Diceros bicornis minor: one gene and its partner. The protein of the gene in region 1 purifies or fractionates together with the protein of each later gene. This does not show direct contact. Links are inferred from orthologs where the notes say so. Each region holds a gene or a part of one and is shown in the gene's direction. Other genes may lie near its edges.

Evidence for each region. The genes of interacting proteins can lie anywhere in the genome.
Region 2: the proteins of JOSD2 (region 1) and AHCYL1 purify together in Homo sapiens (affinity purification with mass spectrometry; 4 studies listed by BioGRID and IntAct, counting the BioPlex papers as one, with this or other methods). This does not show direct contact. The link is inferred for Diceros bicornis minor from reciprocal best matches to the Homo sapiens genes JOSD2 and AHCYL1.

The regions. Positions count from the first base shown.
Region 1 is NC_080773.1:25,679,497-25,686,503, reverse strand, and holds the start of JOSD2 (josephin-2), read left to right. Parts: upstream 1-3,994; 5' UTR 3,995-4,357; intron 4,358-4,950; 5' UTR 4,951-4,967; coding exon 4,968-5,113; intron 5,114-6,670; coding exon 6,671-6,796; intron 6,797-7,007. Other genes in the region: ASPDH (aspartate dehydrogenase domain-containing protein), read left to right, coding at 1,140-1,194, 2,035-2,233, 2,490-2,574, 2,666-2,815, 2,897-3,117, 3,187-3,445. UniProt on the Homo sapiens protein: Cleaves 'Lys-63'-linked poly-ubiquitin chains, and with lesser efficiency 'Lys-48'-linked poly-ubiquitin chains (in vitro). May act as a deubiquitinating enzyme.
Region 2 is NC_080743.1:43,022,511-43,030,521, forward strand, and holds the start of AHCYL1 (S-adenosylhomocysteine hydrolase-like protein 1), read left to right. Parts: upstream 1-5,004; 5' UTR 5,005-5,055; coding exon 5,056-5,175; intron 5,176-8,011. UniProt on the Homo sapiens protein: Multifaceted cellular regulator which coordinates several essential cellular functions including regulation of epithelial HCO3(-) and fluid secretion, mRNA processing and DNA replication.

The DNA.
Region 1 (7,007 bases):
CAGTGCGATCCTGGTTGCCATGGCAACGCTGCAGCGGGTACCAGGTGGTGGCTGGGGGCAGGGAGCCAGCACTGCCGCAGCCTCCGCCATTTCCCATGCCAGGCACCCGCGAGGCGCAGCGGCGGGGGGCTCATTTGGGGGGCGCTCGGGGCCTCCCCAGGCCCTGCAGGCTTCTCCCAGCCGAAGGGAGGTGGGGAGAGGGGAGGGATGGGTGTGAGAGCGAGAATGCAACATGGGGGTGTCTGGGCGCATCGTGGTGGGGGAGGGAGGATGAAAGGTGGGAAGTCAAGGTGAACTGAGGGATGATCAGGTGGAGGGAGGGAGGGAGGTTCTGGAGAAGGGCTGCGGAGACGGCCCGCTGAGGCTAGGATGAGCCCGACTCCCGCTCCTGCTGCCTTGTGGAGAGACGGGGCACGAACAGGCCAGGCCTCCCTCGGAGCTCGGGGTAGGAAGGAGATGCAGGCCTGGCCTGGCTGGGAACAGGATGGCAGCCAGCCCGGAGGACATGGGGGCGGGGGCTGGAAAGCCAGAGACCCAGGGAGAAGCCGAGAGACGGCAACAGGGCAAGAGCAAGATCAGAGACAGGAACAGAGAAGGGAGAAAACACGGAGGAGGAATGTTGACAAGAAACACAGGTGCCGAGGCACAGGGGGAGCGGCCACCAGGGCGGGGACTGGAAACCCAGGGGCAAGGGACAGACTGAGAACCCAGAGTCCCGGCCACCATCACCTCTCCCTCACTCCCAACCGTCTCTACCCCCACCCCAAGCAGGATGCAGTTTCCATGGCAACCTGGCCAGCCAGAAAGGGGGGCGGGGGACTGCAGAGGAAATTTTCCACATCAGCAGGAAGGGAGGAGGGCGTGATGCAGAGAAGGACCAGGTCGGGTACAGTGGGGGCCACGTGGGGCCCCTGGAACCCCGAATCATCGTGCCCACTGCCCCCAGGATGCTCACCCCGCCCCCAGGCAGCAAACCTGCACCCCCACTTCCCGGCACTACAGGGAGGGGGGAAAGTTCTGGACAGGCTCAAGGGTCAAACGTCCAAAGATCAGCCGCTGTCCAGGCCTCGAGGGGTGGGGGGGGGGGAAGCAGGGAGCAGCCGACAGAGCTCGGACAGCAGACCAGCAGACTCAAGGGCATGGCCCTCGACAGGGTCCCGCGGAGGGTGGGGGTGGTGGGCTACGGCCGCCTCGGTGAGTCCCTGACTGTCTGGGGCCTCTTCCCCAGGCCCCATCATGAAGCCCCCAAAAGCCCTTGTGCCCTCCACAAACACACTTTTCATCTGTCTTTATCTGTGCCCTGTCTCCCTGTCTGCCTGAGCACCTTCCACTTTCCACCGCGGGGCTCCATCCCCTTCTGGGTCCCTGTCCCCCTCCCTCTGGGTCTCTGTCCCCCCCCCCGGGTCTCTGTGCCCTCTCTCTGGTCCCTGTCCCCCTCTCTCTGGGTCCCTGTCCCCTCTCTCTGGTCCCTGTCCCCCTCTCTCTGGGTCCCCGTCCCCCTCTCCCTGGGTCTCTGTCCCCTCTCTCTGGGTCCCTGTCCCCCTCCCTCTGGGTCTCTGTCCCCCCCTGGTCTCTGTCCCCTCTCTCTGGTCCATGTCCCCCTCCCTCTGGGTCTCTGTCCCCCTCCCTCTGGGTCCCTGTCCCCCTCTCTCTGGGTCCCTGTACCCCTCTCTCTGGGTCTCTGTCCCCTCTCTCTGGTCCCCGTCCCCCTCTCTCTGGGTCCCCATCCCCGTCTCTCTGGGTCTCTGTCCCCCTCTCCCTGGGTCTCTGTCCCCCTCTCCCTGGATCTCTGTCCCCCTCTCCCTGGGTCTCTGTCCCCCTCTCTCTGGGTCTCTGTCCCCTCTCTCTGGGTCTCTGTCCCCCTCTCTCTGGGTCTCTGTCCCCCTCTCTCTCTGGGTCTCTGTCCCCCTCTCTCTGGGTCTCTGTTCCCTCTCTCTGGTCTCTGTGCCCCTCTCTCTGGGTCTCTGTGCCCCTCTCTCTGGGTCCCTGTGCCCCTCTCTCTGGGTCCCTGTGCCCCCCTCTCTGGGTCTCTGTCCCCTCTCTCTGGGTCTCTGTCCCCTCTCTCTGAGTCTCTTTTCCTCTCCCCAGGACAGTCCCTTGTCTCCCACCTGCTGACTCAGGGACCGGAAGTGGGCCTAGAACTTGTTTTTGTCTGGAATCGTGACCCAGCACGAATGACAGGGAGCGTGCCCGCTTCCCTGCAGCTCCAGCACCTCGCTGCCCTTGGGGAGAGGTCAGTGACCTCACCATGAAAGAGTGGGGTTGCCTGAAGCTCCTGTTCTCGCCTCCCTTGGGTGCTGTGTGATTTCAGGCGAGTCCCTTACCCTCTCTGGGCCTTGGTTCACCCAAACGTGAAATGGGACAGGCCCATCCACCCTGTTTCCCCTCCTGGGCCAGGAGGAAGAGTGCCAGGTCTCTACAGACTGAGGGAACCTGGGAGGGGAGGCCTAATATGCTCCAAGGCCCTCCCCCATCTCTCCCTCTCCCAGGCACCCTGACCTTGTGGTGGAAGTGGCCCATCCCAAAATAATCCAGGAATCTGGGGCACAAATCCTGCGCTATGCCAATCTCTTGGTGAGCCCTGCCCCTTCCGCCTTGGCCCCAACCCACCCTACAGTGGGATCGGTCCCCTGACCTCAGCCCCTCCCCACTTCATCCGCCCCAGGTGGGGTCCCCCTCAGCCCTGGCTGACCCGGCCACGGAGCAGCAGCTCCTGGAGGCCTCGCGCCGCTGGGACCACGCTGTGTTTGTGGCCCGGGGGGCCCTGTGGGGCACGGAGGACATCACCAGATTGGACGCAGCAGGGGGCCTCCAGGTGAGGGCCCAGTGGGCTCCCCGGGAACCGGAAGGGGCCTGCAGAGACCCCAGACCCCCTGACCCCAGCTGTCACTTCCAGAGCCTCCGTGTCACCATGGCCACGCACCCCGACGGCTTCCGGCTCGAGGGACCCCTGGCGGCAGCGCGCAGCACCGGGCCTCGCACGCTGCTCTACGAAGGCCCTGTCCGCGGGCTCTGCCCCTTTGCCCCCCGCAACTCCAACACCATGGCGGCCGCCGCCCTGGCCGCCCCCAGCCTGGGCTTCGACGGCGTCATCGGGGTGCTGGTGGCCGATCTCAGGTGAGCTAAGCCGAGCGGGGGCTGGGGCTGGGGCCGGGCCGGCCAAACTGACCACTCTGCTTGCCCCAGCCTCACGGACATGCATGTGGTGGACGTGGAGCTGCGCGGACCCCCGGGCCCCACAGGCCGAAGCTTTGCTGTGCACACCCACAGGGAGAACCCCGCCGAGCCGGGCGCTGTCACGGGCTCTGCCACTGTCACCGCCTTCTGGCGCAGCCTCCTGGGTGCGGCCAGGCCCCTCCCCGGTGCCAGCGGCGCCCTCCCCGTGCCTGGGCTCCGGTGCTCGGCGGCTCTGATTCTGTCTCTGTTAATTGATCTTTATTTCTGAGTCTCCTTAACCTTCTACTCCACTACTTTGAATCTTCATCTCTCTCTCTCTCTCTGTCCAAGTCTCCTCTCTCTGAGTCTCTGTGTCCCCCTCACTCTGGGACCCTAGCTTCTCTGCGTGTGTCTCTGTCCCCCTCTGGGTCTCAGTCCCTCTCTCCAGGGCTTCCTCCACCCGCACCTGCTCTGTCCCTTCCTCCAGGTATCTGTGTCTCCTCCTCTCTCTGCCTCAGCCTTTCATTCCCCGTATCCCCCCGCAGGCTGCTGCCAGCTCCCCTCCAGGCCGGGGATCCGTCTCTGCTGAGAAGCCGCCTCCTTCCCGAGAGGACCTCCTCGCCTCATTTACCTCCCCATCACCGTCCCGCTGCTGCCCTGGCCTCTGTTTCCCTGGATCTCCCTCCCATCCCAGTAAATATTGGAGGCTCTTCTCCCAGCACGGTTTGGTGTCTGGTCCCTATCTGCCTTTCTGTGACGTCACGCTTCATCCTCACACTAGGCATGACGCTATCGTAGGGGGCGGGTACACATGGGAGCAACACTCCTGGAAACTATCGCGAGAACCTACTACATTTCCCAGAACCCTCTGAGCAGCAGGCGGCGTGGTAGTGCGCGAAGGGATGGGCCTCTGTACCGCAGAGTTCCGGGATTCACCGCAGGGGCCGACGGAAGTTGTAGTTCCGCGCTCTTGGGGCAAGAGCGGACTTCCGCGTTACGCTGCCCAGACGATCCGAGCAGAGCGAAAACTCTTGTGGGGGGGGCCGGGAGTCGTAGTCCAGCACGCGGGGGCCGCCGGGAGCTGTAGTCCGTCCCGTCTGCCCAGTCAGAGTGGTGCTGCCAGGCCCGCACTCGGAACTCAGAGCCGCCGGCCAGGGGGATGCGGAAGCCCCTTGTTCGGGGGAGCAGAGAGGCAGGCGGGGTGAGGGGCATTGCCAGGCAACGGGCGAGCGCGGCGGTTGGGGTACAGGCCGGGGAAAGAGCTCTGTTACTTGGTGTCCGGGGAGGGGGCCCTGTTGCCAGGTGACAGGAAGAGAGAATCCTGTTGTTTAGTGACAGGGGAGGGGAGTCTTTTGTTGCTAGGCGACCAGAAGAGACCCTGTTACCTAGAGACAGGGGAGGAGTCTCCCTCTATTGCTAAGTAACCAGAGAAGAGACTTGTTACCTAGTTGGGGGGGGGTGGTCTCTGTTGCTAGGTAACCAGAGAGGGAGCCTGTTACCTAGGGACAGGGGAGGAGGGGTGTCTCCGTTGCTAGGTGACCACCATAGGGACCCTTTCACTTAGGGATGCAGCGGGGATGGTCCTCTGTTGCTAGGTGAGCCAAAGAGAGAGCCTTTTCCTGGGAGTAGAGGATGGAGGTACCCTGTCGCCAGGAAAGGACCCAGGGAGAAGGGTCAGGGGTGCAGTGGCCTCTCAGGCTGCCCCCACCCCAATGGCAGTGCCCCCAGGGCCTGCTGGCAGGTTGGGCCTCCAGATCCCGGGCCCCCGAATACCTTCTCCCCACGCCCCCTAAGCAGGAGCTGAGGACGGCATGTCCCAGGCCCCAGGAGCACAGCCGAGCCCACCCTCCGTGTACCACGAACGGCAGCGCCTGGAGTTGTGTGCCATCCACGCCCTCAACAACGTTCTGCAGCAGCAGCTCTTTACCCAGGAGGCTGCCGACGAGATCTGCAAGAGGTGACCATCACCCACCCTGACCCCTGGAGAAGCGGGGCTCACAGAGGCCAAGCCACCCACCTGGGTCTCATAGCAAGGCAGAGGCAGAGCCCGGGGGCTTTCTGCTGGCCCAATCACCCACCTGGGCTGGACCTGGGGACTCAGAGATGGAGCTGTAGCCTCCGCACCTATCTGTCCCCACGCCGCAGCCCCAGCTCACGCCCCACCCTCTCTTATCTGGGCCCTCCTTGTCCCCACCTCCTCTCCAGCCTCCCAGCTTCCAGTTTTCTCCTCCAGTCCACACAGGGACCCAGCGCTTACCTTGCCCCTCCCCTGCTCACAGCCCTCCTGTGGCTCCCCCGCACCCCTAGGAGATGTCCCAAGCCCCATAGCCTGATAGGCAAGGCCCTGCATGCTCTGGTCCCCGCCTCCCTCTGCAGCTTCATATCCCGCCGCTCCCCTCAAACCAAATTCCTCTCCAGTCCCTGAATGAGCCCCACTATGATGCCTCTGGGCCTTTGCACGGGCCATTCTTTCTGTCTGGCACGGCTTCCTCCTCTTGGCAGCCTGGAACGTTTCTCCTCTCTATTCAAGATGTCAAACATCACTTTGTTATCTCTCCGCCTCATCCCCGCCTCTGTCCCCACAGCCCCAGCCCCAGCTCAGGCCCCATCAACTCCTGGGCCCTCCCCTTGGCCTCCAGTCTCTCCCCTCCAGTCAGTCCCCCAATGACCTACACCTAGAGATGACCTGTCTCCGCCTCTCTTGCTCACAGCCCTCCCGTGGCCCCTCAGAATCCTCAGGCATCCCAACCCCTCAGACTGATTACTATAGAACTTATTCATCTCCTGTCATTCAAAACAGGGATCTATCAACTCTTTCATGCCAAGGCCACGCTGGAGACCCAGAAATCAGTCTACTATGAGCCCTGCCTTGAGGGAGGCCAGGGAAACAGATACACAGAAAAATAATACACAAACTTGCCCCTCTCCGACCCCTCCCCACCCTGCCCACCAAGAACCCAGACAGAGAACAAAGGTGCCCTTGTTCAGAAGAGGCAGGGCCCAGAGAGACGAGTGGTGACAGGGTGGGCCTCCTGGGCTCGGGAACCGACAGCTGGAGGAAGGGCCGGGAGGCAGGAGCATAGGAGATGTGGTTGGGGACAGGTGGCTGGGAAGGGGTGGGGTGGGACGGAGGCCAGCAGGGACCAGACCAGGTGGGGCCTCGAAGGTCAGGCTGAGGGGCTGGGACTCTATCCTGAGGTGATGGGCAGGGCTGGGAGCAGGGGAGGGGCGGATGAGCACTGGGTGTAGGAGGAGCCCCCAGGCCCTGAGGGAGGTGGACTGGAGGGGGAGACTGGAGGCTGGTGAGGGTGCAGGTGGAGGACAGGCCTGAGCAGGGAGAAGTGGTTGGAGGACAGGGCAGAGAGAGTCGGGGGCACGAGGAATCGTGGGGGCTGAAGAGAGGGAAGAGTCCAAAGGTCGGGTGACTCACAGACCCTGGGGCTCTCCTGCTCTGTGGGGACTGTGAGGCCTTTCCAGGGGCCCCCAACTCAGCCTCCGACCACTTCCCAACCAGGTTGGCCCCAGACTCCCGGCTGAACCCCCATCGCAGCCTCCTGGGCACCGGCAACTATGATGTCAACGTGATCATGGCCGCCCTGCAGGGGCTGGGCCTGGCCGCCGTGTGGTGGGACAGAAGGAGGTGGGACTCAAGGCGCTGTGTCACGTGTCTGAGCCTGGCACAGGGGGTGCTGTGGGATGGTAGTCAGTATGGGCCGAAGTGGGAAAGGGGATGAGTGGAGAGAAGGAGGAAGGAAGAGGTGGGTGGATGGAAGGTTTGTGTGGAAGGATGGTGGATGGCTGGTGGACTGATGAGTTGGGAGATGGCAGAAGGATGAGTGGGATGACTGGAT
Region 2 (8,011 bases), on another chromosome or scaffold:
GAACAGAAGCCCAGAAAGACCCAGGGTTCCAGCAGCCAAGTTGGTAGCAGAGTCAAGACTTGAGGCCACACATCTCCGTCTGCCCAGATGCCCGGCTTCCCTCCACACCACACAGCCTCCCCATGAGTCAGCCATCACGAGTTCCGGGCAGTGGACCTCACACCCCCTTACAGCAGAAAGGTGCCGTCCCCCTGGCCCTGCTTACAGCCAGGACAATTGGCCCCACTGCTAACATTTTTGCTCCTTCTCTCTGGCAGGACCTAGTGCTGTGACCCACCCTTGTCTGTTTTGCTTGAAAGCCATTCCCACTCTGACTCCTACCCCGACACACTCTGTTTATACTGCATTAAGTTGGAAACAACTCATGCCCAACAATAGGAAAATGGGTAAGCAAACTCCTATGGCAATAGGATGGAACCCTTGGGAAACAGTGACAAGGACAAGTACGTAAACAATGTCCACATGTGGTACACGTGCTTTCAAAACACTATGATTTGATCAAACTGGAACACAAAATGACATATACCTACTGATCACAGGTATGTAAAAGTGAGTTTCTGCAAATTGATAAGAACCTGAAGTGAACTTAAAGAGATTTTTATCTTCACGGGTTTTTCTTTCCTATAAAGATTATGTTCAAAACAATAATAAACAGTAAAATGCATAATAAATAGGATCATAATAAGCACAGGAGGAGGCAGAGAAGGAGGAGGAGTCTTTCTAGGCCCTGGGGGACGGCCTATCTTCTCAAAAGGGCTGGAATTGAATACAGGGGAGGGAAGGAGGCTGGAAGTGGGGGAATGAAGGAGCTCAGTGGGAAGCAGGAGCCAGGCATGCCTGGGGAGCCAGCACCAGAGGCGCAGAGGTGCAGCTGGGAGCCTTCCCCTTGGGGAGTCCCTCAGGGACAGCAGGGCAGACCAGCAATCTGGACTCGTGCTCCAAGGGCACATTTCACATCAATTACAATGTCAATGGTGCCTTCCAGAGTTGTGCAACATGGCGGTTCTGGGACAGAAAGATAATGGGAGGGGGTCTGCTGGACACAGAGCCACTGAGCTGTTCACCTGTTTCCATACTTCTATTGTCACCCAAGATCTCCTGCAATTTTTCTGCACCATTCATTTCGGAGGACTAAAGTGGGGCCTGGCCTACAGGAGAGCACAGCCTTGCTGCAGGGTGCTGGGGGTACCAGACTGGCAGGGAGCAGATGGTGTGAAAGGCTCCAACTTAGGCTCCCCTGGACATAGGGCAGCACACTCCACAGACATATCAACCTCAACATGTCTTAAGCTGACTCCTTATCTCAGCAGCCCCTCCACCCAGACCTGCCTCTCCTCCCGTGTTCCCCATCTCGGTACATGTCACCACCATCCAGCCACATCTGGCTCCAGCTTCAGCTCTCACTCTGCTCTACTTTGTACCCTGTGTCCCACTCACACTGAAATGTTTACAGTTCCCATAACATGCCAAGTTCTCTCATTGCCCTGCCAGGCTATGCCTTCAGCCTGGAATCCCTTCCTTACCTCGTCCAGCTGCTTAACTGTCAAGAGTCAGGTAGAGCAGCATCTTCCTCTATGAAGCCTTTCCTGCTCATCCCCATCCACCATCCCACCCACCTTACCCTCCACCATCTGTCCCCACGTAGACATCAGTACTTCATTCCTCTCTGTTGTCCCAACATCCAACACTGCTCCTTCTTCAGCATTCAATGTATATTTTATGAATAAAAAAAAAAATGACTGAATTTGGAGGGTAAATTTTAGGGTGGATTTGATTAATAAGATCAAGCCCATGTGTGGTACCCTTTCTAGAGCAGGGTCCCCTCTGGTCTCTAAGCCCTTCGGAGACTTCCCCTGACCACACACAATAGGTGCACCTGTCCTTGGGTCCCCGCTCTTCTCAAACACTGGCCCCTGGTGGCTTCTCTCATCTGTGTGTGGATTGTGCTGTTCAGGGGAGTGAGCCCCGACTCATCCACCTGACTAAGCTCAGAGGCACTGCGTCTGGTAGGTGGGTGGGTGGGCTGAAGACAGGTCATTTCTTGGCATCCATGAGAGGCAACACCTTAGCTGGTCCATGTGCAGCCATCTAGGAGTGGTGGGGGCAGCGTGCAATGGTTCTCACTGATGTTATGTCATCACACTTTCTGGCTGAGTGAGCTCTTTGATCTCCAGTCACACACAATGGGAGCAAGGGCAGCCACTCATGTCCTCTGCAGCAAGCTGGTTTCCAGGAATGCCCTTGGCTGTGGCCTGACATGAACCACGTAGGCCTGCTGCCTTTCCACCAGGGCAGGGAGCGCTGCCCCTCCATCCTTCCAGTCTAAGCACCCCGACTCCCCTAGGTCAGCCTCCCCAAACCCACCTTGGGCCAGGCACTCACGTAAGTGGAGTCACACCTTCTGGTCTCCTTCTTGGCTCAAACTGTGAAGGTACTGCTTCCTCTAGGCCTGGCCCTGTCTTCACCACCCCCAACAGCAACAGCCAATCCTGTGAACGTGGTGATAGGGAAAACCTGTTACTTTGGTTCAGGAGTAAAAGAGAGGCTGAACTTCAGTCTCCAGGAATCTCATAATCTGAATACTAACATGCACAGCATGTCCTGAGAGACAAAGCTCTCAGACAATGGAAGTTTTAAAAATCAAATCCAAAAGACAAACACACCCTGCTTCCTTATTTTTAAATAGGCTATCCTAAGTCACATGTTTTCCTATTCAAGGAATGTGGAGTTTTCACCTCTGTTCCAACTCGTTCTGCCTCTGTTCTCTGAGCAGGCAGCTCTGATCCCTGGACTCTGACAATAGTTCAGGCAAACCCATAGGATGAAAGCTACCTCAGGCCATATGTCCAAAGAGTCCTGGGTGGGCAGGTATAGCTCTGGGCCCCGGCTGGGAGATGAGGAGAAAGGTGCCAGTCTGGCACCCTTACAGATGAATCCAGCATTCTGGTTCCCCATCTCTCTGTCCCTTATGCTACAGGAATACCCCTGAGAGGGAAGTTGAGGGGCTTGAAAGAGTGGGCAGATGAGAGAATCCTGACAGTTAAAGACCAGGATCTGCAGAAGTGTGCATCCTACCAGGCACTTCCACAGCCTGCATCAAACAGATGGCCTCATGGGGCTGGAACATGGGCTTCTCTGTCTAAGACTTCTGGAGCCCCACAGGCAAGTATTTCACATACTTCCCAACTTTGAACATAAACCAGTGGGGAAAATATCACTTCAAACTACAACTTCTTTCTTGAAAGAGTTGACCCTGTCAGAGACCTGGTAGGTTTCTGGATATGAAAAGGTGGCCTGGGGAGAAATTTAGGAAAAGGGCAGTGGGAAGACTTGAATAGTCAGCACCGTAGAGAAAAATCTGGCTTCCCAGAGTTACTCAAGGAGGGGAGGATGAGGTGGAGGGATGGGAAGGGAATAAGAAGAGGAAGCTAGATTAGATGGCAATGGGCTAGGGATCTTTGTGGGGTGGTGCGGCCAGTGAGAAATCCTGGGTGACAAGATAGCCAAAATAACTTTTCAGAACATTTTAGAAATATGACTTTAAATTGTTTGCTGTGTGATGTAATCTCTCCCCTGTGGCCCACAAACCTTCATTAAAAGTTCTGCTACATGTTACGGCATTATTTTTGTGGTTGTTTTGGAATAGGGGTGGGGGTTAAAAGGAGAAGGGGCTATGTTCCATATTTGAATTGACAGCAGGAACTAAAGAAACAGCTACAAAACCAGAATAGCGAACAAAACTTCAGATGAGGCAGAAAATTAGAGCCAGAGGTAACCATGAAAATCTAAGTCCCCCCAGTAATTCACAGAAATCCTGGGGAGGGCATTGGACTTTCCACAGGAAATGGGAGTTGGAGCCAACGTCGTTCGAATCTCAAAGGACAAGCTACCTCAGCTGACATTAGGTTGCAAATACGGTTTGAGTCTTCGGGTGGACAAAGCCTTGCAAAACATAAAACGTATCACACTCATCTTTACTATCCAGGGTCTAGCACAAGAACAGTACGTAGTACGGCCCAGTAACAGCATGTACATGGTCCATGAACGCCCTGGTTGCCGCACTGGGAGCTGGCAGAGTCTCGTGCTTAAGGGGCGGGGTGCATGGAGCAGGAAAGCCATTCAGGCTCCTCCACCCCCGCCCCTCATGCTCTCCACCCTCTGACCCATTATCCCTATGCTCATGGCCGACAACATCAGCTCTGCGGCCTGAAGGTCTTGTAAACAGGCAAGGCCCAGCGGAGACGGTGGTGAAGGAGGTCACAAAGGGTCGCGCAGAAACCACACAGCTTGGAATCTGTTCTGCCCACCCTTAAGTCAAAGAGGCAAACACTGCCCCTTGGGAAGGGGCTTCTGGTCCAAAGGGCCTGGGGTGGGGGCAGTGAGTGGGCTGTCTTGGGCCCCGAATGTCACCTAGGACTGGCTGTAGGATGTGTCGTGTGGGACTCTGGTCTTTGCTCCCAAGCATCCCCCTCACGCTCTTCCGAGATCTTGCCCGAAAGCCCGCAGTCCCAAACGCCCCCCCCCCGAATTACGCGGCACCCTTGCATGAACCACGCGCCTCTCACAGGGCTGATGGCGCCACCTGGCGGCGCAAAGGGTCAGGCTCACGCTGGGAGCTTCAGCACCAGCGAGCTGGGAGGAAGAAGGGGTGGCTTCGGCGGCCCAGTCCAGCGTGGTGACGTCATGACAGAGCGCCGTTTCTCCCCGCCTCTTCCTCTTCCCCGGAGCTGCCAGTACTTGACGTGGCGTCACCTTCCTCTACCCTTACTTTGCGTGCGTGTTTGCGTGCGGCGGAGGTGGTGGCGCGGACCGGTCAGAGCTCCGCGCTGCTGCTTCTGGTGCTCTCGTCGCCGCCGTTGCTGTTTGGCTGTCTTGGACTGCGGTGCGAACGCGGCACGGGTCACAACTCCTCAGCCCCGGACGCAGCTCGGCGCGGGGCCCGGCGGGAGGGTGGGCGAGCGCGTGTCGGAGGGAGCCGCGCGGGCGGGCGAGCGGGCGCCCGAGAGGGAAAGAGGCGGGGGCGGCGGGTCAGCCGCGGGCCCGGCCGGCCGGGGGATGTCGATGCCTGACGCGATGCCGCTGCCCGGGGTCGGGGAGGAGCTGAAGCAGGCCAAGGAGATCGAGGACGCCGAGAAGTACTCCTTCATGGCCACCGTCACCAAGGCGCCCAAGAAGGTGCGGGGGCTCTGAGTGGCGGCGGAGGCGCAGGCTGGGGCCTCGCGGAAGGGGCGCGAGCGAGCCCGGGGCTCCAGCTAGTTCGGGACTTCGGGGCAAGGTTCGAGGTGCCCCGGGACGGCCGAGGTGGTGTGAGGGGCGGGTGAGCGGCCCCAGACCTATCCCGAGCTGTAAAGGCCGCCCCTGACCTCACTTTCCTTTGTCCCTCGGCCCTCGGGATCTTTTCGAAACCCGGCAGGGCTGGGCCTTAAATTTGCGGCTGACTTTTCCTGGATGAAAGGTCTCCAAGACGGGAGTGGGAGGGGGTGAACCAATTCAGTGGATCTCTGTGACCAGCCCCATGGGATGGAGGTGTTCAGAAAATCTCCCCTCGGGCGAGTGTGTAAATCGGGTAGAGCTGCTTCGGGCAAATCTTTGGAAGCGGTGGCCGGTTTATCCAACAACTGCGTGCTAGCTTGGAGCAGGAGGGAAAAAATGCGTGGAGCTGGGTCTTTTATGCAGGTGAAAGCAATGAGGACAACATGCGATTCAAAAGAAAACTGATTTTCACCTTTTACGGTCGTCCAGTTGCTTCGACATATGTGAGAAATTAACCTTTGGAGGTTGGTGACAGCAGACATTGTCATGGATACAGGTTGATCGTAGTCATGTGCATAGATCACTTAGGCATCCCCTGAGAAAGGAGCTTGGGTGGGTTGGAGGGGTGGGTGGTAAGGAACGATTGCTCATTCTTTACTGCACTTACTGAGGCAGAACAAGTTTAGTCTGTTGTGCTGGGGGTTGAGCTCAAAGGACGCCCTTCTAATTCTCTTGTGGAAAAATAAATGGCAGCCTTTGGAGGTTTTAGTCTAACTAGTTCTCAGAGTGGTGGAATTGGGATTTGTAGTGCTTTCTGAGCATTTGTTGCCAACCACATCTTGACTTGTGACATACCTGGCATCCAGTTAACAATAGACCAGAGAACCTTTGCAGAGACGTGACCTTTCTGAAACCAGTGAGAACCTGGATAAATATTTCCCTCCTATATAAAGACAGAGTGTTTCAAGGCTGTCTCTCTCTGCCTGCAGTGTTTGATGGGAGGCAGTGCTTCTATAAGCTGAACAAAGCAGGGTTTGCAGGAGTAGTTACAGTCTTGGAGGCTCCTGCACCTGAGCTCGTTATGCTGTCATAAGTGGGAGAGATGACTTTTTTTTTTTGAAAATTAATCTACTACTCCAGAAATCAAGTGCAGAATTGAAAAGACAGGTCACCATCGTGTGCTTTAGCTCTGTTTTGCCACAAAATTAAGCTCTTACCAATAGAATGCCTAAAAAAAGGTTATAGAAGATCCCTTGGTTCTAAGAAGTCTGATTAACCTTATTTTTAGTGCTATCAGTTCAGCTGACTGCTTTGTTGGGGCAGTAACCCTTTGTAACCTGCATTATTTGGAGATACAGTCTCAGCCTTTATAAGCAGAAGGCTTAAGGGTAGTACCTGTGATGAGTTAGGGGGAAGAATGGGAAAGCCCTGGTACCCTAATCCCCTGAACTCATCCTCTCCCCATTAGCCTGTCCTCTTTTGTCTAGTTGCTTCAAGAATTAGGTGTTTTTATTCTTACTTGCCTCTATTTTAGTAAGGCTTTATTCTTGGAAGTGCCACTATTAGTAAGACAAAGTTTGTATTGTAGATTGTAAACTCAGTAAAGGCAGGGACTCGTGTTCACCATTGTATCCACTCTGCCTAACTCTGTACCTGGCATACAGTAGGTAGTCAAATATTAATTGCCCACCTGGCTAACTAGTAATTTGTCTGTATGACTGCCTACCAGGAATAAGTATCCCTTTTCCTCTTTTCTTCCCAGGAGGAATATTGCTAATGTGTACGATTGTCAGGCCAAGTGGGAATGATTTTAGAGACTCATATCCCATTAGCTGAAAGAAGCAGTTTTTGCCAGGAATGTGGGAAGACCCTGTTGTAAGTTTCCATTTGCTGGTAAATGTACCGCCGGGTTTCTTATTAATCTGCTCCTTCTGAGCTTTATTGTTTAGCATTTACGCAGCACTTTGTATTAAACTGCTTTATGATGACTAATTACCCTTTCCCTGGTGATGATAAAAGGCATTTATTTAGTTAATGAGTTGGTTGAGGACTAGTCAAGGTCACGTAGCAATTCCTAGGTGATCTGTTTTTTCAGAACTTCAGCTGAATTGGACATTGTGTTTCAAGTCACTTTTGTACCTCTGCCATGTACTGATACTGTGAGAAAGCATGAAAAAAGTAAGAGGAAAAATGTAGCTTGGCCTGTACTGAATGGTGTGAGAAAAAGGCCTCTTTAAATGGTGCCGTCCTTCACCTGTGAGGATTCCAGTGTGGTTCTAGACCAAGTAATCCTTGGATCATTCCAAGCCCTAATGCCCTTCAGGGAATGAGGACATTTCTGGTGCCAGTCAGGGTGACTTGGATAGTCCTTAGATCAGATTCCATTGTAACTGGTGAAATTTTATTCACTATGTTTGGGGAAGCGTGATGTCCATCAATTAGAAGCAGAGATGTTGGGAATCTTCAACTATAACCATAACTTATTCAGTTTTGTATACCCCAGGGTCTACCACAGTGCTATGTAGGTAATAGGATTTGTTGGTTTGATTCAAGGCTTGATCTGGTTGTCAAGAAGCCATCTAAATGGGTACCACCTTAAGCAAGTGAGCTTCTATGCCTCAGTTTCCTCATCTGCCAAGTAAGTGCTTTTTGTTTGGAATAGGCGCCTGGCATATTGGGAGCTAAGATAGCAAAAGTGGTTTTTAAAAAGAAGTCTATTAGTATACTTAAACTCTCTCTTTTTAATGAGCATTTGAGA